4 linked regions of the Arabidopsis thaliana genome follow. The protein of the gene in region 2 interacts with the protein of the main gene of each other region in a pairwise test. Each region holds a gene or a part of one and is shown on either strand. Other genes may lie near its edges. The genes, in order: FACE2, AT1G74370, AT3G26370 and AT4G01410.

The links.
Region 1: the proteins of AT1G74370 (region 2) and FACE2 interact in a protein complementation assay, tested with the Arabidopsis thaliana proteins (one large-scale study listed by BioGRID).
Region 3: the proteins of AT1G74370 (region 2) and AT3G26370 interact in a protein complementation assay, tested with the Arabidopsis thaliana proteins (one large-scale study listed by BioGRID).
Region 4: the proteins of AT1G74370 (region 2) and AT4G01410 interact in a protein complementation assay, tested with the Arabidopsis thaliana proteins (one large-scale study listed by BioGRID).

The regions. Positions count from the first base shown.
Region 1 is NC_003071.7:15,211,603-15,217,765, reverse strand, and holds FACE2 (farnesylated protein-converting enzyme 2), read right to left. Parts: upstream 3,381-6,163; 5' UTR 3,160-3,380; coding exon 2,950-3,159; intron 2,642-2,949; coding exon 2,582-2,641; intron 2,497-2,581; coding exon 2,290-2,496; intron 2,117-2,289; coding exon 2,005-2,116; intron 1,903-2,004; coding exon 1,831-1,902; intron 1,756-1,830; coding exon 1,693-1,755; coding exon of another isoform or gene 1,637-1,692; exon of another isoform or gene 1,608-1,636; coding exon 1,530-1,607; intron 1,451-1,529; coding exon 1,317-1,450; 3' UTR 1,153-1,316; downstream 1-1,152. Other genes in the region: AT2G36300 (Integral membrane Yip1 family protein), read left to right, coding at 3,637-4,404; AT2G36295 (uncharacterized protein), read right to left, coding at 5,670-6,011. UniProt on the Arabidopsis thaliana protein: Protease involved in the processing of a variety of prenylated proteins containing the C-terminal CAAX motif, where C is a cysteine modified with an isoprenoid lipid, A is an aliphatic amino acid and X is any C-terminal amino acid.
Region 2 is NC_003070.9:27,956,151-27,961,179, forward strand, and holds AT1G74370 (RING/U-box superfamily protein), read right to left. Parts: upstream 3,251-5,029; 5' UTR 3,037-3,250; intron 2,881-3,036; 5' UTR 2,836-2,880; coding exon 2,050-2,835; 3' UTR 1,936-2,049; downstream 1-1,935. Other genes in the region: AT1G74360 (Leucine-rich repeat protein kinase family protein), read left to right, coding at 1-1,761; XXT5 (xyloglucan xylosyltransferase 5), read left to right, coding at 3,698-5,029; AT1G74385 (uncharacterized protein), read right to left, coding at 4,575-4,820.
Region 3 is NC_003074.8:9,654,636-9,661,519, forward strand, and holds AT3G26370 (O-fucosyltransferase family protein), read left to right. Parts: upstream 1-2,044; 5' UTR 2,045-2,250; coding exon 2,251-2,559; intron 2,560-2,734; coding exon 2,735-2,785; intron 2,786-2,877; coding exon 2,878-2,968; intron 2,969-3,138; coding exon 3,139-3,215; intron 3,216-3,339; coding exon 3,340-3,428; intron 3,429-3,521; coding exon 3,522-3,641; intron 3,642-3,816; coding exon 3,817-3,933; intron 3,934-4,029; coding exon 4,030-4,173; intron 4,174-4,261; coding exon 4,262-4,385; coding exon of another isoform or gene 4,386-4,448; exon of another isoform or gene 4,449-4,473; coding exon 4,474-4,665; intron 4,666-4,746; coding exon 4,747-5,106; 3' UTR 5,107-5,310; downstream 5,311-6,884. Other genes in the region: AT3G26350 (proline-rich receptor-like kinase), read right to left, coding at 1-95; AT3G26360 (Ribosomal protein S21 family protein), read right to left, coding at 1,328-1,337, 1,443-1,738; AT3G26380 (Melibiase family protein), read left to right, coding at 5,505-5,584, 5,680-5,833, 5,918-6,175, 6,256-6,430, 6,520-6,581, 6,663-6,826. UniProt on the Arabidopsis thaliana protein: Glycosyltransferase involved in the biosynthesis of pectic type-II arabinogalactans.
Region 4 is NC_003075.7:576,149-580,965, reverse strand, and holds AT4G01410 (Late embryogenesis abundant (LEA) hydroxyproline-rich glycoprotein family), read right to left. Parts: upstream 2,939-4,817; 5' UTR 2,659-2,938; coding exon 1,975-2,658; 3' UTR 1,679-1,974; downstream 1-1,678. Other genes in the region: CBL5 (calcineurin B-like protein 5), read left to right, coding at 10-118, 247-299, 387-467, 553-665, 892-928; AT4G01400 (oligomeric golgi complex subunit-like protein), read left to right, coding at 3,723-4,817.

The sequences.
Region 1 (6,163 bases), on a different chromosome or scaffold from region 2:
ACGAAAAAGTGTTTAGGAGAACATAGGTTTACCACCAATTTTAAATCACGTGATCAAAGTTGTATCCTATTGACTGTATCATATTAAAACGTCATTTATTACCTCCTTTACAAAAAAACAAATATTTCTTAATGAAATTTTGTGGTGTATTTTGCGATGATAAATTTAAAATGTAAGGTAAATAAATATTTTGAATTTTACTCACTTATTTATAATATAAATAAATAAACGTAAATTAACATAATTTTGCAAATTTTTAGTATTAGTGAAAATTTAGTTGATTTTTCTTTTTGTATTAGTTCCCTTTTTTTAACGGTTTGTATTAGTTCAAATACCAGCAATATTTATGCTCTCTATTATAAAAGCTCAACTTACAACTATAAAATAAGAATAGGATTTATGAATAGATCATAATAGTATTGGTCTTCATCTTTTTAAAACTATCCACATAAACAATAGTAATGAATCTCACTAGATAGTAGTAGTGTATAGTTTGGGTAAAATACATTTTAGAGTAGATTACTGCATATTGGTTTTGTCGAGGATGATTTTCCGGTTCAACAAATTCTGTTATATGCAAGCATAATCAACCACATCTTCTTTATGAAGAGATCCTCTCCCGTTAAATCACCGTTTACTTCACACAAACACAATATATGTGTAGTGTACAGATAATTTATTGACCATAAATTCAACTATCCAAGCTTCAAATTTCGTAGGAATATGACATAGTAATCAAGTGGTGGTGAGAAAATTACTGAGAGACCTACGAATCCTAGAAACATAATTTTCGTAACTCCTAAGTGAAAATCATCATCATAAACTCAGACTTTGAAAGTCAACTTTGAAATATAATTTTCAGAAAATTATATCCGTTTGATGATTACCCCCAAAATCTCTTTGGATGATCATCAAGCAAGACATCATCTTCTGAATCTCTGATGTAAGATTATGGACCTATGTTCAATTTCTAATCATTGTTTCTCTATTTTTATATATAAATCAAATGAATTTTGGCGTGTTGACATTGGACAATATAGTTTAGGTTAGACTTGGGGATGTAGATCATCCTTCTTCCTGTCCCTCCTAGGATAGCAAGAGAATCATTAGGGATAATACCGGAAAAAAATGGACAATTAGCCAACACTAATTTTGGAGACTTGAACCAATTATTATTATTATTATATATTTACAAGGAAAAAACTACATAAACTATCAAGAAACATTAGCTTGCAGTAAAAGACCATAATTCCAATATTGTGTCAAAAAATAGATTCTAAGACATGATGATATATAAAAAAAAACTTGGAGAAGTGTCAATTCCACAAACAATAGCCAAGCCAACACGGACAATCGTTGGTACTATCGTTGTACATGAGAGGCTTTGTTAAAGGAAAGAGAAGTAAGACGAACCCAACCACACCGCCTAAGAACGCTGCACTCACCAAACCTGAGAGAAGAACCATAACCATGTTTAGCTTATTCTTTTGCATTTGCATTTGTTAACAACCTTGAACTTTATGTCTTACCTTTTCCATTTGCGTATAGCACAGGCAATCCCATGTAGTTGCAAAATATATGAGCAAACAAAGGAGCAGCAAGATGTCCTGTAAAATTTACACAATGCAGGAGACAATCATCCATTAGAAAGGCTTTTACATGTATAAGATATATAAATGCCTGGAATGTTACCGGTTCTGATGAAGAGAAACGATGCATATGCACCAAAAATGACTGTGTAGCCAAGCTGAAGACCTGATCAACGGACAAGTGAAGCTCAGGACTGATCAACAAACAATATTATTATGATTATGGATGGCAAAGACATACCAACAATAAGTGAAGCCCGGAGATAGCTGCGGTTATGCCTGATGTACATCTCTCTAAAATGGTTTAAGTGAGCTACACAAAACATATAAAAGTCAGACAAATCCAGTAATTTTCTTTTCACTCGAGTTGTAAACTGTTATTCACAGAGAGAGAGAGAGAGAGAAAGAAACAAACCCAAGCTAAAGAGAACTGGGCACAGAAAGATGGCAGTGTTAATCCTAAACCCAGCACACAGAAGCAAAGGTATCATACATGATCGGAAAACCAGCTCCTCAGTTACTGGTGCCTGCAAATCATAAGAAACGCCAGCTCTAACAGATTATAACTTGTTCGATTTAGAACTTACTTATACACCAAACTGATGCATATAGTCCTCAGACAATTAGCAAGCAATGCCTTATGCAATTTCAATAAAGAATTGACAAGATAAGCACACAGAGATGGCAAACATATGATTACCACGATAAAATTGCGCCAAACGGAAACATTAGAAGCACTTGTCAATACCGAAGCAGGGATTGTTTGGAAAAAGCTTCTGATGTAATTAAAGGAACTACATCCTCCGCCATTTTCCTTCCATGATTCCAGGAGAGTAAACAACTTCAACACCAAAGACCCAGCATAAACGAGCGAGGTCAATAGAAGAGGATACACCACTCCTTGCCACTGTTCCATATCACAAAACATAACCATTTTAATATGAATAGTGTACAATAAGCTACGAGTAAACAAATTGAGACAAAGAACTTACCAGATGATCTTTCCTTATGCCATAAACTCCAAGTATATAAGAGGCCTCCCAGCTTTTTATCTAACATTACTCAAGCAAAAAAGGAAGACAAGTTTCAGAGATTCCTGTAACTAGCGTTGAATTGTACCAAACACAACATAGTCACCAATATTTGAGTGTTACATTCTTAGAGACAAATTGTGTGAACCTACAACAACTAGTAAAAGCTAATTCAACTCTCAACAAAGTTACAAATACATCAAATTTCTTTACTTTTAGTTTAACTTTCATCAAAACACCAAATGCATCTAGATTTGGACCTAATTTGGTTACAGATCAACGGAGAATGAACTTCAAATCGAGAAATGGCGGTACTCAAAGAAGCTTACCGGAAGTATAAAAGCTGTGAAGACGAGAGATGCTACAGTACAAATGGCCGCGCAGATGAATCGCCGAATCATGAATTCGGTGTAAGAAGAAGCCGACGGGAGACGGAGTATCACGGTGGGAACGTAAAGGATCAAAACGTAGAATAGTGCCATCGCGACGCAGGTAGCCACCGCCAACGACATCGAGATACTCTCGCCATCGGTGGCCATAATCGTTGAGGAAGCTCCGGCGAAGAAATATACCGGCTAATAAGTGTCGAAGTCACCGCTGGTTAAATCTTAGTCCGGCGGTCTTCTAATCTTTAACCAATTACATCGTGCCACGTTATAGACTAAAACGGATGACTACTGGGCCGAACAGACCCATTGGGCCAATTTCGTTTATAAAAGAGGGTATAACGGTAATATCATCAGAAGATATACGTCACCATGCCAGTTTCGAAGAAGCCTATTGGTTATATTTCGTCATTAACTAGACGGAATGACGAAACTACCCTCAGATGCCTTCTTCTAAAGTTGTCTCTTCACTGTCAAGAAGAAGAAGAGAACAAAAAAAAGAAAGGAATTTTCTCTGAAACGTCACGAACGTGTGAATTGGGTTAAAAAATTCATCTCATTGATCCAAACTTGAAACCCTAATTTCGAATCTCTTTGCTGATTTGGTGAGATCTCAATTTCGGAAAGAAGATGACGAAGGATTTCGCAGTTCCACCTGTAGTTTTCCCCTCCGGTGGATCTTCAGGCGGTGCTAATGTCCAGCAACGAAGATTCCCAGCGACACCGTTTCAACCGCCGCGTCCCTCTTCTTCCGCAATCCCTTTCATGTCATTCGACATTGGATCCGCAGCCGCGTCTTCCGCTACACCTGCCGGACCATTCGGCGGGACAATCGCTTCCTCTTCTTCTTTTGGTGGAGGTTCAGCTTCGTTTGAAGATGAGGAGCCATTACTCGACGAGCTCGGTATCCATCCAGATCAAATCTGGAAGAAGACTAGATCGATTCTCAATCCTTTTCGGATTAACCAAGCTGTTCACAAAGATTCAGATCTATCTGGTCCGATCTTTCTGTACCTTGCGCTTTGCTTATTTCAGTTGTTAGCTGGTAAGATCCAGTTCGGTGTCATACTTGGATGGATCGTCGTCTCCTCTATCTTTCTATACGTCGTCTTTAACATGCTTGCTGGTAGAAATGGGAACCTTAATCTCCATACGTGTACGAGCTTGGTCGGATACTGTTTGCTTCCGGTGGTGGTTTTATCGGCGGTGTCATTGTTCGTTCCCCAGGGAGCAGGGCCGGTTCGGTTTGTGCTTGCGGCTTTGTTTGTGTTGTGGTCCACTAGAGCCTGCTCTACATTGGTGGTATCTCTTGCTGATGGTGGAGAAGAGCACCGTGGCTTGATCGCGTACGCTTGTTTCTTGATCTATACTCTCTTCTCTCTTCTTGTTATATTTTGATTCCATATTGATAGATCGTGAATCACTTCCGATGCTGTGTTAGCAAGTAGCAAAAAAAGGCTGCAATATAAGTTCTTTGATGTGAGGTTGAATTGGGTGGGAATAGCACGGTGTGTAAAGGCTTTTTTGGATAAATTTAGAAAGGTGTTTAAGAAATTTGATTCAATGTTTGTATCTGTCACTTGATCTTTAAGGTTCTTACTTAAGAATTATTTATACAATTTGGTCGATATGTCTTTTGACATAGTTTGTTCCTGGACATTAGATTTGTGAGAGTATTGGAATTGATGTTGCGGATGATATGCTTCTGTACTAATGCAGAAGAGGTTTATATGCTTCCTATTTCATGTTTATTTTGCTATTTACTTTCCCGGTGTGAGGCTATGAAGATGTGCTGACTTCTTGCTTGGATTATACTTAAAGGTCCCAAGTTTTAGGAATGATTGGCATTAGATTTGCTTAAAGTATGGCTCCATGTAGGTAGAGTAGAATTTTGAGTTGGTTTTAGAGCTGTTGGAAACTTAGGCATAGTCTAATGAAAGAGTGATTAGTATTTAGTGGTTTGCTCGGTGTTGGTATGTTCCCTGATTAGGTGGCATAGATAAGTAGGGACATGGGATCTTGGCTTCAGGTTCGTCTTCTACTGTCAATCCCAGAACTGCACTTACTTTTCCTGATAGTATTTGCTGTGTCACGGAAATTAGAGAGAGATTTATCCGCAATTCATACTCTCTTAGATGGAATTTGTTTTAATGTGTCGAGAAGAATCAGCTATGTCCAATTGAGTGAGCATAGTATTTGTCAGCTTTACCTTCTCCTAAAACATTCAGTAGAACTGGTGTTAGAAATGATCTCTATATTTTCGTGTTGCAACACTCGTTCCGAGGGAACCATTTTTGTGTTCCACCTTTTCTTTAGAATCCAAATTGACTCAAAGGGGAGTAGGCAATTGTTTTAAACATACAATGTAAAGATGTAAAATTTCTGATATATCTGGTGGATGTACTTAAGACATACCCTACAATTTCGATCCTTGGACTCAATTGAAACCAAACTTTTAGGCGGCTTGGTCTCTCCCTTACCAGGATCTTGTCAAAGGAAACCATATATACTCATACTCACCTAGTTCTTCCATGATATCCAGATAGTGATAAACCATCTGATTAAACACTCGTAACACTTGCATATATTGACAAGATTATCTCTCAAGTGTCTATAAGATACGTATTTGTGTTTCAAGGTAAAATTGTAAGATATACATCTGATTAAGTATTCTTACTCTCAATTCTTTGATTATCAACATAGAGAACCCCTCTAGACCAAACCAAATCACTCCAACCTCTTGATGTTGCCGGTACGGCATTAGAGATTTCGGCAGCTGGTAATAGACAGTTGGCCAGTAAAACGCTACCTGTTCTCGCCGGTAATCTCTGGCAATCATACGGTGGAGATGTGGCCGTATCACTGACGGCCTCCAGGTTTATCTCGAACAGATCATCTTCGCCGTCTTCTTCACTACTTCCCTCGCCATCGTGTTCAGGTTCGTTTGCTTCTTGTTTCTCCTCTTCTTCTGTTCCACGGTTAACCAAACCAACACAACGTGTCATTGTTGATTTTGAAATAATTTCCGGTTTAAGAGTCCTTGTGGTTTTAAACTTGATTATGTGGTTAATACGTATATATAAAGGTGATTAAAGTAGAAGGTGGGTTAGTAGAACGGTCCTCAACGAATATACAACTATCTTTGTTGGGAATTTTT
Region 2 (5,029 bases):
AAGAGATGGATTCCAGCGGAGTTCCCTCCGTTCAACTTTGTATACGCAATTCTAACCAAAAAGAGTTGCAGAAGCCTATGGGACCATGTTCTCAAAGGGTACGGTCTCTTTCCTGTCTGTTCTGCTGGTTCCACGGTACGCACGCTTAAAATTTCAGCCTATCTTCAGCTCAGTGGAAATAAGTTTTCAGGTGAGATTCCTGCAAGCATCTCTCAGATGGACAGGCTGAGCACACTACATTTGGGTTTCAATGAGTTTGAGGGGAAACTGCCTCCAGAGATAGGACAATTGCCTCTTGCATTCCTCAACCTTACTCGAAACAATTTCTCGGGCGAGATTCCTCAAGAAATCGGAAATCTGAAGTGCCTGCAGAATCTTGATCTGTCTTTCAACAATTTCTCTGGAAACTTTCCAACGAGTTTGAATGACTTGAATGAGCTGAGTAAGTTCAACATCTCATATAACCCTTTCATTTCTGGCGCGATACCAACAACAGGACAAGTAGCAACCTTTGACAAAGACTCCTTTCTTGGAAATCCGCTGCTGCGGTTTCCTAGTTTCTTCAACCAATCAGGGAACAACACGAGGAAGATTTCCAACCAAGTCCTAGGAAACAGGCCAAGAACTCTTCTTTTGATTTGGATTTCCTTGGCTCTTGCATTGGCGTTTATTGCATGTTTAGTGGTATCAGGTATTGTACTTATGGTTGTTAAGGCTTCAAGGGAAGCAGAAATCGATCTCTTAGATGGGTCGAAAACCAGACATGACATGACTTCCAGTTCAGGTGGATCATCGCCATGGCTATCAGGAAAAATCAAGGTCATTCGCTTAGACAAATCAACTTTCACATACGCTGACATTCTGAAAGCAACCAGTAACTTCTCTGAGGAGAGAGTGGTAGGTAGGGGAGGCTATGGAACTGTTTACAGAGGCGTATTGCCTGATGGAAGAGAAGTTGCAGTCAAGAAGCTTCAGAGGGAAGGCACAGAAGCAGAGAAAGAGTTCAGAGCTGAAATGGAAGTTCTAAGTGCCAACGCATTTGGAGATTGGGCACATCCGAACCTCGTGAGGCTATATGGATGGTGCCTAGATGGGTCAGAGAAAATCTTGGTGCACGAATACATGGGAGGCGGGAGCTTAGAGGAGCTCATCACAGACAAAACAAAACTTCAATGGAAGAAACGTATTGATATAGCCACAGATGTAGCAAGGGGATTAGTGTTTTTACACCACGAATGCTACCCTTCCATCGTTCACAGAGACGTCAAAGCCAGTAACGTTCTTTTGGATAAACACGGGAATGCGAGAGTGACGGATTTTGGACTAGCAAGACTCTTAAATGTAGGAGATAGCCATGTGAGCACAGTGATTGCAGGCACAATCGGGTATGTAGCTCCCGAGTATGGACAAACTTGGCAAGCCACCACAAGAGGAGATGTTTACAGCTACGGAGTATTGACCATGGAACTCGCGACGGGTAGAAGAGCTGTTGATGGAGGAGAAGAGTGTTTGGTCGAATGGGCAAGACGTGTAATGACAGGTAACATGACAGCCAAAGGTTCACCAATAACCCTGTCAGGGACCAAACCAGGGAACGGAGCTGAGCAAATGACTGAGCTACTAAAGATTGGTGTGAAGTGTACAGCTGATCATCCTCAGGCAAGACCAAACATGAAAGAAGTTCTAGCTATGTTGGTTAAGATATCCGGTAAAGCAGAGCTCTTCAATGGCTTATCTTCACAAGGTTACATAGAAATGTAAAAATCTTTCTTTCTTTTCTTCTTTCAGATTTATTATACAGAACAACAGAGTTTTCTTCTTCACCATTTTTCGTTTCATTGTTTCTGATTCTTCTTGTACACAGAACCTCATTGTTATCAGACAGATAGGGATAGAGAAAGGTAGTTTTGTTCGCAATGTACAGAGACACAATCTGAAAATAAAGATCTTCTCTTCTTCTTGTCTATATTGAGTGTAAACAACGTTGGCTCTATCTCGTGTTTCTTACAAGTCAGGAAACATACAGGAAGAAAGAAACAGTACAATGAGTCAGGTTGCAATCTCTCTGATCAGCCAGTTTAAGCTCGGGAAGGCAAAATAAAGGACGAGAAACGACGGGACAGCCAAAGCAAACGTAACAAAGAAATAAACCCCGAGAACTGCAGCACTCACAGGGATTGCATATAAAGCCATCAACAGGAATATGACTACCAGAGGAAACTTAGCCAACAAATGAGCAACAAGAGCCATTGACTTACGTACCGAGTCATGGAGCCTCCCAGTTCTGAAGAATCCTCTGGTCACACCATTCCACCAGCTGCGATTGTCCAGCAACCCTTCATCACCCAAGGCGGTATTACTCACTCCATCACACCTATTTCTCAAGTCTCTCTGCCCTGAAGCAACCCTTTTGTTGTCGCTGGGTGCCTCCGATCTGGAGCCATTCATGCTTTCTACCATCCACAGAAGGTAAAAGTTCTTGGAAGGAAATCTGATGGTTCCATTGCAAACCAGCCTTAAAGAGAGAATATTGCACCAAGGGCAAGCAACGAAGAAGGGAAGCTGGAATGGTAAAGCAGAGGATTTGATGACAATGGCACGTTGAAGCCCTAAGAGACAGTACTTGCAGATTGTATGACCACACCATAAGACATAAGGTACATTCTCAACAACGTTGAATGATTCCCAGCAAATGGGACACTCCAATTTTTCTTCCTTTGTTGTCTTTCTTCCATCTCCTGATCTATCTAAAGTAGCTCTTCTTGGTTTTGTAGCAGCTTCTTCTCCCTTCGATATAAAACCTTCTCTGATCGATTTTGAAGCTAAATTCCACATAGCAATGGAGGGATCCACAAAGATAATCACTTTGAATCTTTCTCTCTGCAACAAGAAAATCACACACACATACACTACATAATCAGATATGAGATTTACAATCCAACCCCCAAAGATTGGACCGAGAACATACAAAAAGTAACGAACTTGATGAAACCCAAGAAATCATTAACAGAATTACAGAAAACGAAATACACTTACAAGAGTTTATCCGGTCATGAAGATGAAGATCATTGCAAAAACAAAAAATGCAACAGCTACGTCGTTGAGTTATATAATATCTCCGAAGCTCTGATGTAACCAGCGAGAAGAAAACCGGCTGAAAAAGAGACACGCGTCGTAAAACATGGTGACTCTGAAACGCCTTTCAATGTTTCCGCCGCCCCCACCGATTTCCTCACCTTATCCGTTTCTGTTTTCAGGTTTAACTACCAAAACGCATCGTTTCACTATACCGCCAAAATTAAACTACCGGTTTAGTTCCGTAATTTTCTATTACCGAAATCGGTTAAAGTAAAATAGTAGTTGTCGGTGAGAGTGAGCTGTACGCGTTTCTTCTTCTCCTTGTGCGCTTTCTGGATCGAACGAAGCATTTTCCTCCGACAATATATTTTTAAGTAATGACAATGTTTCCGCATTATTGGGTTTAATTCCATTTTTAAATTAGGGTTCTTCAGATCGACAAATCTTTCTCTTTCTCTTTCCCCGATCGGAATCATGCTAAAGATCTGAACTTTTTCTCAGATCCGTGAATAAGTAAGTACGGAGAGACAGAAACATACTCAGACTGATCTGAGGAAAACAAAGTTGATGGTCGCAAACCTGTAAGTGAAATCTATAGAGAGAGACGTTGAAGAAGAAAATGGGTCAAGATGGTTCGCCGGCGCATAAAAGACCATCCGGAAGCGGCGGAGGACTTCCGACGACGACGTTAACCAACGGTGGAGGAAGAGGTGGTCGTGGTGGTTTGTTACCTCGAGGTAGACAGATGCAGAAGACGTTTAACAACATCAAGATCACAATTCTCTGTGGTTTCGTCACAATTCTCGTCTTACGTGGCACTATCGGTGTTGGTAACCTAGGAAGCTCAAGCGCCGATGCAGTTAACCAGAACATCATTGAGGAGACTAACCGGATTCTAGCTGAGATCCGATCTGATTCGGATCCAACCGACTTGGATGAGCCTCAGGAAGGTGATATGAATCCCAATGCGACGTATGTTCTAGGTCCTAAGATCACGGATTGGGATAGTCAACGTAAGGTATGGTTGAATCAGAATCCTGAGTTTCCTAGTACTGTCAATGGCAAAGCTCGAATCTTGCTTTTAACAGGATCTCCTCCTAAGCCTTGTGATAACCCCATTGGTGATCATTATCTTTTGAAATCTGTGAAGAACAAGATTGATTATTGTAGGCTTCATGGAATTGAGATTGTGTATAACATGGCTCATTTGGATAAGGAACTCGCTGGCTATTGGGCAAAATTACCAATGATTAGGAGGTTGATGTTGTCTCATCCAGAAGTTGAGTGGATCTGGTGGATGGATAGTGATGCTTTGTTCACTGATATACTGTTTCAGATCCCTTTGGCTAGGTATCAGAAGCATAATCTAGTGATTCATGGTTATCCGGACTTGTTGTTCGATCAGAAGTCGTGGATTGCTTTGAACACAGGTAGTTTTCTGCTGAGGAATTGTCAGTGGTCGTTGGATTTGTTAGATGCTTGGGCGCCTATGGGACCTAAAGGGCCAATTCGTGATGAGGCCGGGAAGGTATTGACGGCTTATCTGAAAGGTAGACCAGCTTTTGAGGCAGATGATCAGTCAGCATTGATCTATCTCCTGCTTTCTCAGAAAGATACATGGATGGAGAAAGTGTTTGTGGAGAATCAATACTATTTGCACGGGTTTTGGGAAGGTTTGGTTGATAGGTATGAGGAGATGATAGAGAAGTATCACCCGGGATTGGGTGATGAGAGATGGCCATTTGTGACCCATTTCGTTGGGTGTAAACCGTGTGGTAGCTATGCTGATTATGCAGTCGAGAGGTGCTTGAAGAGTATGGAGAGGGCCTTTAATTTTGCAGACAATCAAGTGCTCAAGCTGTATGGTTTTAGCCATAGGGGATTGTTGAGCCCCAAGATTAAGAGGATCAGAAATGAGACAGTCTCTCCTTTGGAGTTTGTAGACAAGTTT
Region 3 (6,884 bases), on a different chromosome or scaffold from region 2:
TGTGAGGTAGAAGCACCACCGCTTTTGAGATGTGGATTCTGCGATGGAATTCGCGCAAAATGAGGGTTAGTTTCATGGTGATGATGATGAGACATTTAGATGAAGAAGCTAAAAAGCATCAAAGGAAACTAAGTTAAGTAAGACTTGAGATGAAAGAATGAGAACAGAGAGATTTTGAACTGTTTTAAGTTTCTAAATGAGATAGAGAGAGGGAGAGAATAACTTGGTGACAAGTTCAAGTAAGGATTCTTTGTTGTAGAAAACAAAATAAAGAAGGAAAGTGATAGCACGAAGCAAGTAATCTTTGTTGTAGATTCCTTGCACTAAAATTAAAATCAGTTTCTAATCTCATGAAAAAGTATAAAAACATTCTCTGTATCTTTTTCTCATTCAAAAGTTTTTTTAAGAAAATTGTAATTACTCGGTCCAATTTATCTAAAACCCAAATAAAAAGATCTCGATTTTAGGAGAGACAGGGTTAAGGACTTACAGTAACAGTCATGAATATGTCAATCTTTCTACTTCAGCTCACTCCAGGGGAAAGATGTTGATTCTCAGAGCAACTTACGAAAACTTGTCGAATATGTCAGTAAACTATGAACATGTTAAGATATGTCTCCCATAGATCAAGAAGGCCGCAGATTAGTTAGCGCAAATCTGATGCGAAACACGTTGCTTCTGCAGGTAGATACTCTGTTCTCTGCTCAATTTCTGCAGCATCAAACATGAAACCAACTCTGCAATGCCGGTTACTGCAAACGTTGACAAAGACAACTACCAATCGAGCCTGACCAAACAGATACTAGTAAAAAAGCTGGAAGCAAACTGAAAACTAAACCCATACAAAAGGTATTTTCCACGATCTTCGGTGCAATTGTTCTTCCTATATCTCTTATCCCCATTCTTTGGCATGGCATGGTATATAGTAACATGAATATACATAAAATGAAAGTGTAAACGCCTGGAAAGAGCTAACCTACGCTTTACACGCGAAGAAAGCAGAACAATCTCAGAGTAATCATGGCCGGAACAAGAAACACAATTCAAGCACAGAGACCCACAGAACACAGTCATACAGAGTGCAGGAGAAGCAACGCACTTGCCCTGAAACAACTTTCAATACATGTACTCCTAAGATCTGATGTTCTTTCTCAAGATCATTGAAAACTTACGAAAGAGAAGCCATAGAGTAAACAACTAATCAAATCCAAAATTCCAATTCCACATTGATTCAACTCATCAAAAGTTCAAAATGTAAAACTGTGTTATATCACACACAGATACTAGTACTGATCAACATAGCAGCACTCTTGCTTCACCTCAGCTCTCATAAACCTCTGCAAAGAATAACAATAAGAAATACGCAAGATCTTACTAAACTAAACAACACCATTAAAACCCTAAAAAATGTGAAGCTTTTGAGAAAAATCAGAAAACATTACCTGACTTTCTTGATGAGGATTGATTGGAGTTTTCGAGCAAAGTCAATGGATTTGATTCTGCGTTCAAGATTCTTCCTAGCGAGAACCTTCTTCTCCGAATTCTTAATGTGATGAGTCTGAGTCCCTTTGATCAGCCTCTCCATTCCACTCGATTGCATCTTCTTCTGCAAAATCGTCAGTGCCTTGTCTAAATCATTGGAGAACACCTTCACTCTTATCCCTCGCTCTTGCTGCAACTGCTGGTTTAGACTCGGACGAGTCACCAACCCCGTAACTCGCTTCGCTATCGTGTTCATCTCTTTTACTTGTTTTCTGAAAAAGTATGTTTCTGAAAACGTAAATGAGATTGACGAGAGACAGTGATAGGATCTGAATTCGACTTACCGGTCGGAATCTCGCCGGAGAGAATCAAAGAGCCAATTTGAGTGATGATGGAGAATGTCTAGGTTAAAAAAGAGGCGATGGAGGAAATGAGATAAAAACCAGAGAATTTACTAATATAGGGGTGGTTATGTAAGTTTTATGAGATATAGGGATGTTTTTGTAAATATCCTTAAATCTAATCTTCTGTTTGATTCAGAGAGTATTGACTTTAAAGAAGAACATTCAAGCCTTTCAAAAAAAAAAAGCTTCTTTAATTTCTCTCTCTCTCTGTGGAGTGTTCGAATCTCCAAGCTCTCTCTCAAATGGCAGCGTCCACATAGTAGAGCTGAAGAAGCACTGTATCTATCTACAGAGAAAGTGAAGAGGAAGAAAAGGAAGAGAGGATATAGAAATTAAGCTGGCGACTTTTAGTCCGAGGCGAGCAATGGCAGAGTTACGGCACTCGAGCTCTCTCGGTAGCCGATCTTCTTCTTCTCCGTTACGTGCCGCCGGAGATGAGGATTCTTCATCGCCTCATGTACACGATCACTCTCCTAACGGCGGAGACGACGAAGATGGTCGCCCACGTCATCCTTCTAGAGATCGAGACCGTCCGATCTGGTTTCACTCTTTGTTTCCTTTCTTCGGTGATGATCCTAGGGTTTCTCCTCAGAAGAATAAAATCTCGCTTCTATTGATTTTGATTCTCGCTATTGCTAGCTTGATCTCAGTTTATGGGATTATTAATCACTTGGTAAGTCTCTTCCTTCGATCTAGGAATTGAGATCTTCAAGGCTCTATGTTCTAACTGTGGAATCGATTTGGAAAAGTATTTAGCTTTGTTTTGAGTAAAGGGGTTTGTTTATTTAGGTGGATTTGGATTGACATTGTTCTCAGACTAAGATTGCTTCTATGTCTATCTTCTGCAGAATGCTCCTTATTTATGTAAAAAAGATGGGATTGTGCTAAACTGTCCTCATGTAAGTGTTTGAAAACTTTGGTTATGTGTTTTGTTGAATGCATAAGCTTTGAATCCTGTAAATTTAATTGTGTGTTGGTTTGCATTTGTAAGGTAAAAGAGTCACCTTCTCCTTGGGAGAATCCTTTATCTGCAACAACTTCTTGGAAGCCTTGTGCTGAGCGGCGGATTGGTGGAATCTCAGGTATTGAAGGGCTAGAGCATTGTCATTTTCATTGTCATGTGTTATTTTTTTTTTTTATTTTTTTTTTTTCGTCGAAACACATTGTCATGTGTTATTGATCTGTCTTTTCGTGAAAGTTCAAGTCTTTTTCCTTGGTTAGCTTATTAGATTGTGTCAACTGTTTTTTTCAGATCTTCCTCCTGAGAATGAAACAAATGGCTATGTATTCATTCATGCTGAAGGTGGTTTGAATCAGCAGCGAATTGCTGTATGTATCTTCCAACTTTTATCTCTTTTTCTTCTCGCCATTATCCAATCATGGATCAATGTCTAAATGGCTGTTGTTCTTCTTGCCATCGTCCAATCTTGAATTCATGCCCTTTTGTTTCCAGATCTGCAACGCAGTAGCTGTTGCCAAGATTATGAATGCAACACTGATTCTACCAGTACTGAAGCAGGACCAAATATGGAAAGACACAACGTAAAATCATATTCAGATATTGATTTCATTTCATCTTGAATTACTTCTCTATTTTCTTTTTGGTTTACTGAGCTTGTTAACTTTCTTTTGCAGAAAATTTGAAGACATTTTTGATGTAGATCATTTCATTGATTACTTGAAGGATGATGTCCGAATTGTTCGAGACATACCTGACTGGTTCACTGACAAAGCAGAGCTATTCTCTAGTATAAGGTTTGCTTGTCAACTCATTATTTGTTGATGATGTACTTGTTGGACGATTTCAAAAGTTAGCTTGTGGAATTATGGCGTCACTGGGTGCTCCTTGTGTATATCTCTGATTTAAAAATCGATCTGTATTTTTTAATCAGATATGATGTTGACCAAGTTATTTATTTATCTTCTGCAGAAGAACAGTCAAAAACATTCCCAAATATGCAGCAGCCCAATTTTATATTGACAATGTTTTACCTCGGATAAAGGAGAAGAAGATAATGGCCTTGAAGCCTTTTGTCGATCGACTTGGGTATAACCAATATTCCTATAGTTTAGTGCTCAGATTTTGGAAATCGTCTTATAAACAATGAATGATTTATTCTTGTGATGCTGGAAATTTTTTCAGGTATGACAATGTACCTCAAGAAATCAACAGATTACGATGCCGTGTAAATTATCATGCTCTCAAATTTCTTCCAGAGATAGAGCAGATGGCTGATTCACTTGTTTCTAGAATGAGAAATCGCACTGGAAATCCAAATCCATATATGTATGCCATATCAGAGATTCGACTTTGTTATAACTTAGGACCATATGCATTATATCAACTTAAAACTATACCCATGTCTCTTGTATAGGGCTCTTCATCTTAGATTCGAGAAAGGAATGGTTGGTCTATCGTTCTGTGATTTTGTGGGGACAAGGGAAGAGAAAGTTAAAATGGCAGAATACAGACAAAAGGAATGGCCTCGGCGTTTCAAGGTGACATTTATAAGCAGTTGTCAACTTCTTTTGGTGGCTAAACAACCTCAACCGCTACCTTAATGAAATTTCTTGACATATATTGCAGAATGGTTCCCATCTCTGGCAGCTCGCCTTGCAGAAGCGCAAAGAAGGTCGATGCCCTCTTGAGCCAGGAGAAGTTGCTGTGATCCTACGTGCAATGGGCTATCCAAAAGAAACACAAATCTATGTTGCATCTGGTCAAGTCTATGGCGGTCAAAACCGTATGGCTCCACTAAGAAACATGTTCCCAAATTTGGTAAGCACAACACCGGACTCTTATAATTCTTTGATGAATCAGCACAAACTTGTCTCTCACATTAACTGTCCTTTGAATCAGGTAACAAAGGAGGATTTAGCAGGCAAAGAGGAACTAACAACGTTTAGAAAACACGTTACAAGTCTTGCGGCTCTAGATTTCTTGGTGTGCTTGAAATCAGATGTATTTGTGATGACACACGGTGGAAACTTTGCAAAACTGATCATCGGAGCGCGTAGATATATGGGGCATCGCCAGAAATCAATCAAACCGGATAAAGGGTTGATGTCGAAATCATTTGGGGATCCTTACATGGGATGGGCAACTTTTGTGGAAGATGTAGTTGTAACCCATCAAACACGAACCGGTTTACCTGAAGAAACTTTCCCTAACTATGATCTTTGGGAAAATCCTCTCACTCCATGCATGTGTAAAGCTTGATGATGATGCTTTTGTTTGGTCTTGGATTTTGTCTGATGAGGAGCAACAAACTATAGAGATTCGTAGTTTTCTTCTTCTTCTTCTTCTTTTTTGACCTTTCAAATCTTTGAAGTCTTCATTTACCATCTTTGTAATCATTTTGATATTATGTAAAGTTCCTAGTGATGAAAAAAAAGTTTCTTTTTTATATTAAATTTGATCAAATTGATGCACTAAACTTTAATTAAAAGAAAATTAGCTCAACGGTTACTAATCCAATTCTTAATTTTTTGTCACGCTCTCTAATAGTACCCGCCATTAACACAACCATTGCGTGTTGTCTTCTCTCTTACTCTCAGGTTCTCAACAACAAAAGAGGAAAACAAAATCAGAAGCTATCGTAATCAGTTCTCATCTCTATGACCGGACTATCCGTAGAGAAAACCGGGTCGACCCGGTCCACTGTCTTCTTCATCATCTTTAATCTATCCATTTTTAGGTACTCCGCTTCACTGGGTTTTTGAATTTGATTTTGGTTTTTGAGTGGGTGGTGTTTGAGTGATCGATCAATCACAAAAGTTTCGTCTTTTTCAGTTTATCGATTGAAGCAAGGTCGAGGCAACAACATGCTAGCTTTCCTCCAAGAGGATGGAATTCGTACGATTCCTTTTGTTGGACTATCTCTGAAGCTGAGTTCTTGCAGAGTGCTGAAATTGTTTCTAAGCGTCTTCTTCCTCATGGTTATCAGGTAATTGTGAGTTTCTTTATCCTTTAGAATGTAAAAGTTTAGGTTTTTAATTGCTTGTGTTTGTGTGTGTTGATTTGGATACAGTATGTTGTGGTGGATTACCTTTGGTATAGAAAGAAAGTTGAAGGAGCTTATGTGGATTCTCTTGGGTTTGATGTGATTGATGAATGGGGAAGATTGCATCCTGATCCAGGTAGATGGCCATCTTCTAGAGGCGGTAAAGGTTTCACTGAAGTTGCTGAGAAAGTTCATAGAATGGGTTTGAAGTTTGGGATTCATGTTATGGGAGGAATCAGCACACAAGCTTATAACGCAAATAGTCTCGTTATGGATAGTGTTAAGGTATTGAGTTGATTGATTCTTTCTGAGTTTATGAAGTTTGTTTGGAAGTTATCAACAAGTGAATCTTTTAATGGTTGAAGGGAGGTGCTTATGAAGAATCAGGTAGACAGTGGCGAGCGAAAGATATTGGGATCAAGGAGAGGGCTTGTGTTTGGATGTCGCATGGGTTCATGAGTGTGAATACCAAGTTAGGTGCAGGAAAAGCATTCTTGAGGTCTCTTTATCGTCAATATGCAGAATGGGGCGTTGATTTCAGTAAGAGAATCGACTTCATTTCCGTAACCTTCTTTAACTTTATTCGATATATGATTATCTCAATCTTGTCTCACTTTCTTGGTCTTTAGTAAAACATGACTGCGTATTTGGCACTGACTTCAATATAGAGGAGATAACTTATGTGTCAGAGGTACATATTTGTGATAACTACCAATCTTCTGGTTAAAGTCAGAGGTACATAGAGATGAAACATTGTTCTTATTTGTCGCAGGTTCTAAAGGAGCTTGATCGGCCTGTTTTGTACTCCATATCTCCAGGGACGAGTGTGACACCTACAATGGCTAAAGAAGTTAGCCAATTGGTTAACATGTATAGAATAACGGGTGATGATTGGGACACATGGAAAGATGTCACGGCACATTTTGATATCTCGAGGTCAGGTTTCAAGCTGAAAAATACTCTTGCCAAGTTTTTACCTTTCTTTGATGTCATA
Region 4 (4,817 bases), on a different chromosome or scaffold from region 2:
AATATGCAGATTTTTGGATTATTCGATATGAGAAACGATGGGGCTATAGATTTTGGAGAGTTTGTACACACACTCAACATTTTTCACCCAAACTCATCACCAAGAGATAAGGCCATATGTATGCTTCATCACTTCTAATGTGTTTATTCATTTATTCCATGTTATTATTATTTTCTATATAGCTAGAGATCAATGTTATTAACTATAACCACAAATACATCTGATCACTTGTTTAAAATTAAACAGTTGCATTTAGATTATACGATACTCGTGAGACTGGATTCATTGAACCGGAGGAGGTACGTATGTAAACTTTGTCTCAAAAAAAAGAAAAAGTCATGATTAATTATATTTGACGGTTTTCCTCGACTTGGAGAAATCTATAGGTGAAAGAGATGATAATAGACGTTCTAGAGGAATCAGAACTTATGCTATCCGAGAGTATCATTGATTCTATCGTGTCTAAGGTGTGTATAACGCTTAAGTTTATGAGCTTGATTTAACATTATAGTGATTTTACTTACTATTTTTGTTTACTTATATTTGGCAAAGACATTTGAAGAGGCCGATTGGAAAAAAGATGGGATAATAGATTTGGAAGAATGGGAGAATTTTGTTGCCACCTATCCTTTGACACTAAAGAACATGACTATCCCTTTCTTGAAGTAATTCGTTTGTTTGTTTTTCCTAACCATTTTCTTAATATTCGCTGATAAATTGCATGTTTTAGATACATCTTTCGTTTTACAAAAAAAGTAATATATATACATCTTTCAAAAACAGCTTTTATATATGTGTGTTTATGCATATATTACTATTATCTTCTTTTATTTTATTTTTCTTGTTTTATAAATCGAGATAATTATTCTAAAATTAACTTTTATTGTACAGGGACATTCCGAGGATTTTCCCAACCTTTCTCCGGTAAAATCAGATGAGGTGTTTGCTAGAGGTTTTTGTTTAAAAATATTTTTATCCGAAAATCACATAGGTAATTTGTTATAAGAAATATAGAAGGTTAATTATTATATAAACATATTAACTATCGAAAGAAATCTTTAATATTTAACGAGGATAGAAAGTAATTGTTTTTAACCACAAAGCTAAAGCTGTGATATGAAAACTTAAAAGCAAAGATCGGTTCGTGAAGACAAAATGGGGTTTTGGAAAAGGAAAAGAGGAAAAAGAAAAAGAACAAACGTGTGAAAATTCGAGAAAAATGGTAACACAAAAAGAAATTGGACATGATATAAGTTGCCAAAACCAAAGAGAAAAAATTGACATGATATACCAATCAAATTTTTGAATCAGGTCAACTAATCAAATTCACAACAATCATCCACAATATTATTTAGATTTGACGCTTTCACTGTTTCACATGAAAATTTTACATTTGACGCGATGACTTGTGGAGTCACGATCATTTTAGTCACTCGTTTTAAACGGATGCTTCATTCAAAAAATGTAACTTATATTCAGAAGACTCCTAACGTCCGATTCAGATTTACAAAAAAACAATATCATTGAATCGGAAAACAGAAAAGCATAGTAATATTCTAAGTATTTAATTATAATCGTGAGGAAATAGTTCCGTAATAATGGGGGAAAAATATATATATGATAAAACCAAAATGAGATTTGCCTGAAGATGCCATATGTCTGATCAAACACTCTGAGCTGTTGTGTCGATGAACTCACCATATGCCAAGATACGCTATTAGCGACAACACATTTGTATTGTCAAATGTCATTAATTAACATCCACAGGTCCAACAACAGAGAAACAAAATAATTATCACAAGTAAAATATAAAATTAGTAATATACTTGTACTTATAATTTTTGGCTTATGCCTTTTAATTTATTTTAACACTAGACTCGACGAAACTCATCACTAACATGACCACAAAAAAAAAAGATTACAATTCTAAAACACAAAGATTAAAAAAGAAAACATAACGAAGTAAAATTAAGACTAGACATCAACTTTACAAGTTGAAGGAGCGAGAAGAGGAACTTGTCCGTTAGAAGATGGATTAAATCTCAACCACACATCACATCTGGCGTAAAATCCATACCGTCCAGTCTTAATCGCACCAGCTTTCCAACGTAGCCTCCCAAAAATCACCACTCTCATCAAAACGACGCCGTAAGCTTCATCATTTTTTAAACCATTAGCTACTTCCGGCGAGACTGGTATACCGTTGCCTCCCATCACCGGAGCTATCACAACCGTAGATTTATGTCCTAAACGAAGCGGTGGTAGTGGAAGCGGCGGTGTTATGATCTGATCTTTGTACGTTACGTACATAGAGAGCTTGTCGTAGTGAATGGAGACTCTCCGGTTAGGGTTTCTTGCTAAAACGCTGAACTGAACGGAGGTTGAGATTAACGGCGGCGCTGTGAAATTCAGGTCGTAGATGGCGGCTCCGACGACGGTGAGACGTGGTTTATGTGGACGGTAGACGAGCCAAAGGATTAAGGCTATGATACCTAGTATGACAAGGATGGTGAAGATCGCGCCGCAGATTGCGCGGCGAGCATCTCCACCGCCTCCTCCGCCTTCTTTAGAGTAAGATTCTGGCGTTGAAGAAGCGGAGGGAGCGTTCTTGTGATCTGCTTTGGCTGCGTGCTCTGCTTTTGCTTCTCCTTCTCCCATGGCTATACTCTACAGATATAAGTGTTAAAGTGTGTATGTATAGGTATGTGTGTGTCTATACGAGAATCAGAGGGTTCGGTGAAGAGTGAAGACTCTAAAGAAGGAGGAGGAGAAGAAAGAAGATAAGTAGATGCAAGGTTTTGTCTCTTTTCTAGTTAATAAGAGTAAACAGTCTTCTAGAGTACAGTTTTATTAATTGTTTATTAACTTAGAAAGCTTGTAGTTGTAATTATGTGTTAAAGCTAATCTTTTTATAAAGTAGCCGTAAATTACTACTGTTTTTACATTGTGATTTTATTTTGTTATAATACTTAATGTAATAATATAAGATAGAGAAGTACTTTCGAAAGACTCCAAATCTCGGTGCAACCGTTCACGTGACGGATCTGATGAGTGATGAATTTTTTAAAAATGAAAAATCCAATGTAACGTGTATACATATGGCTATACATAATCAAATACTTTGTTGTCAATGATTGACTTATTTGGTGACAACTATGGTTTCGTGCAACGTGATAACTATCACTTTTTGGCCGTGTTAATTTTTAAAAAAATTAGAATGAAATTTATCAGGTTACGGCCTGTCAAAGTTAGCAATAACCTAATATCTGTTTGCATGCCAGAATACGGTTATGTAGAAAGAAAATTAAATTATCATATTTCACAATTCTTTATCAACTGTATAAAGCAATTAATAATAAATTAATTAGATACCACATGTGTCATATTTGTTCTAATGTTTAGAAAATAAAAGTACAAGTCTTTTATGTCCACATCTCCAACAATACTTCTGACCAAATTCCATATATTATTAGTAAGCTTCCAAAATAAATAATAATCACATTTAAGAAGAATCTGTTATTTAATCACACTAACTGAGATACCGCACCACCGACACTGTAGTCACCGACAATGCTGTGGATGCTACCTGGGCCTCAATTATAAGCCCATTATAAAATTGGGCCTACACTAAAACTATTGTGTACAGAGAGATATTTGATAATTTGCTGACTGATACAAGTCTCACTTCCAACGGCCGATTTATTAAAAAAAAACTCCGACAAATGATTCGCCGGCCGATCTACGACTTCGCCGCCGTTTTTCGCCACTTAACTTCTCCGTTATCGACATCCTCGCGTTTTCTGTTCTATTCTTCATCTGAACATGAAGCTCGAAAACCGATTGTCTCGAACCCTAAATCCCCAATCGGGTCTCCGACTCGGGTTCAAAAGCTCATAGCTTCGCAATCGGATCCTCTCCTCGCCAAGGAGATTTTCGATTATGCTTCTCAACAGCCCAATTTCCGCCATTCTCGATCTTCTCATCTAATCCTCATTCTCAAACTCGGCCGTGGTAGATATTTCAATCTTATCGACGACGTTCTCGCCAAACACAGATCAAGTGGTTATCCATTAACCGGAGAAATTTTCACTTATCTGATCAAAGTCTACGCAGAAGCAAAGTTACCGGAGAAAGTCTTAAGTACGTTTTACAAAATGCTGGAGTTCAATTTCACGCCGCAGCCAAAACATCTGAATCGGATTCTAGATGTTCTCGTAAGCCATAGAGGTTATCTCCAGAAAGCTTTTGAGCTTTTCAAGAGTTCACGGCTTCATGGAGTAATGCCTAACACGAGAAGTTACAATTTATTGATGCAAGCTTTTTGTTTGAATGATGATTTGAGTATTGCATACCAACTGTTTGGTAAAATGCTTGAGAGAGATGTTGTCCCTGATGTGGATTCTTATAAGATTCTGATACAAGGGTTTTGTAGGAAAGGTCAAGTGAATGGTGCTATGGAATTACTTGATGATATGTTGAATAAAGGATTCGTGCCTGATAGGTTAAGTTACACGACATTGTTGAACAGTTTGTGTAGGAAGACACAGCTTAGAGAGGCTTATAAGCTTCTATGTAGGATGAAGTTAAAAGGTTGTAATCCTGATCTTGTTCATTACAACACGATGATTCTCGGGTTTTGTAGAGAAGATCGTGCGATGGATGCTAGGAAAGTTCTTGATGATATGTTGTCTAACGGTTGCTCGCCTAATTCGGTCTCGTATAGGACTTTGATTGGAGGATTGTGTGATCAAGGAATGTTTGATGAAGGGAAGAAGTATCTAGAAGAGATGATATCCAAAGGGTTTTCTCCTCATTTC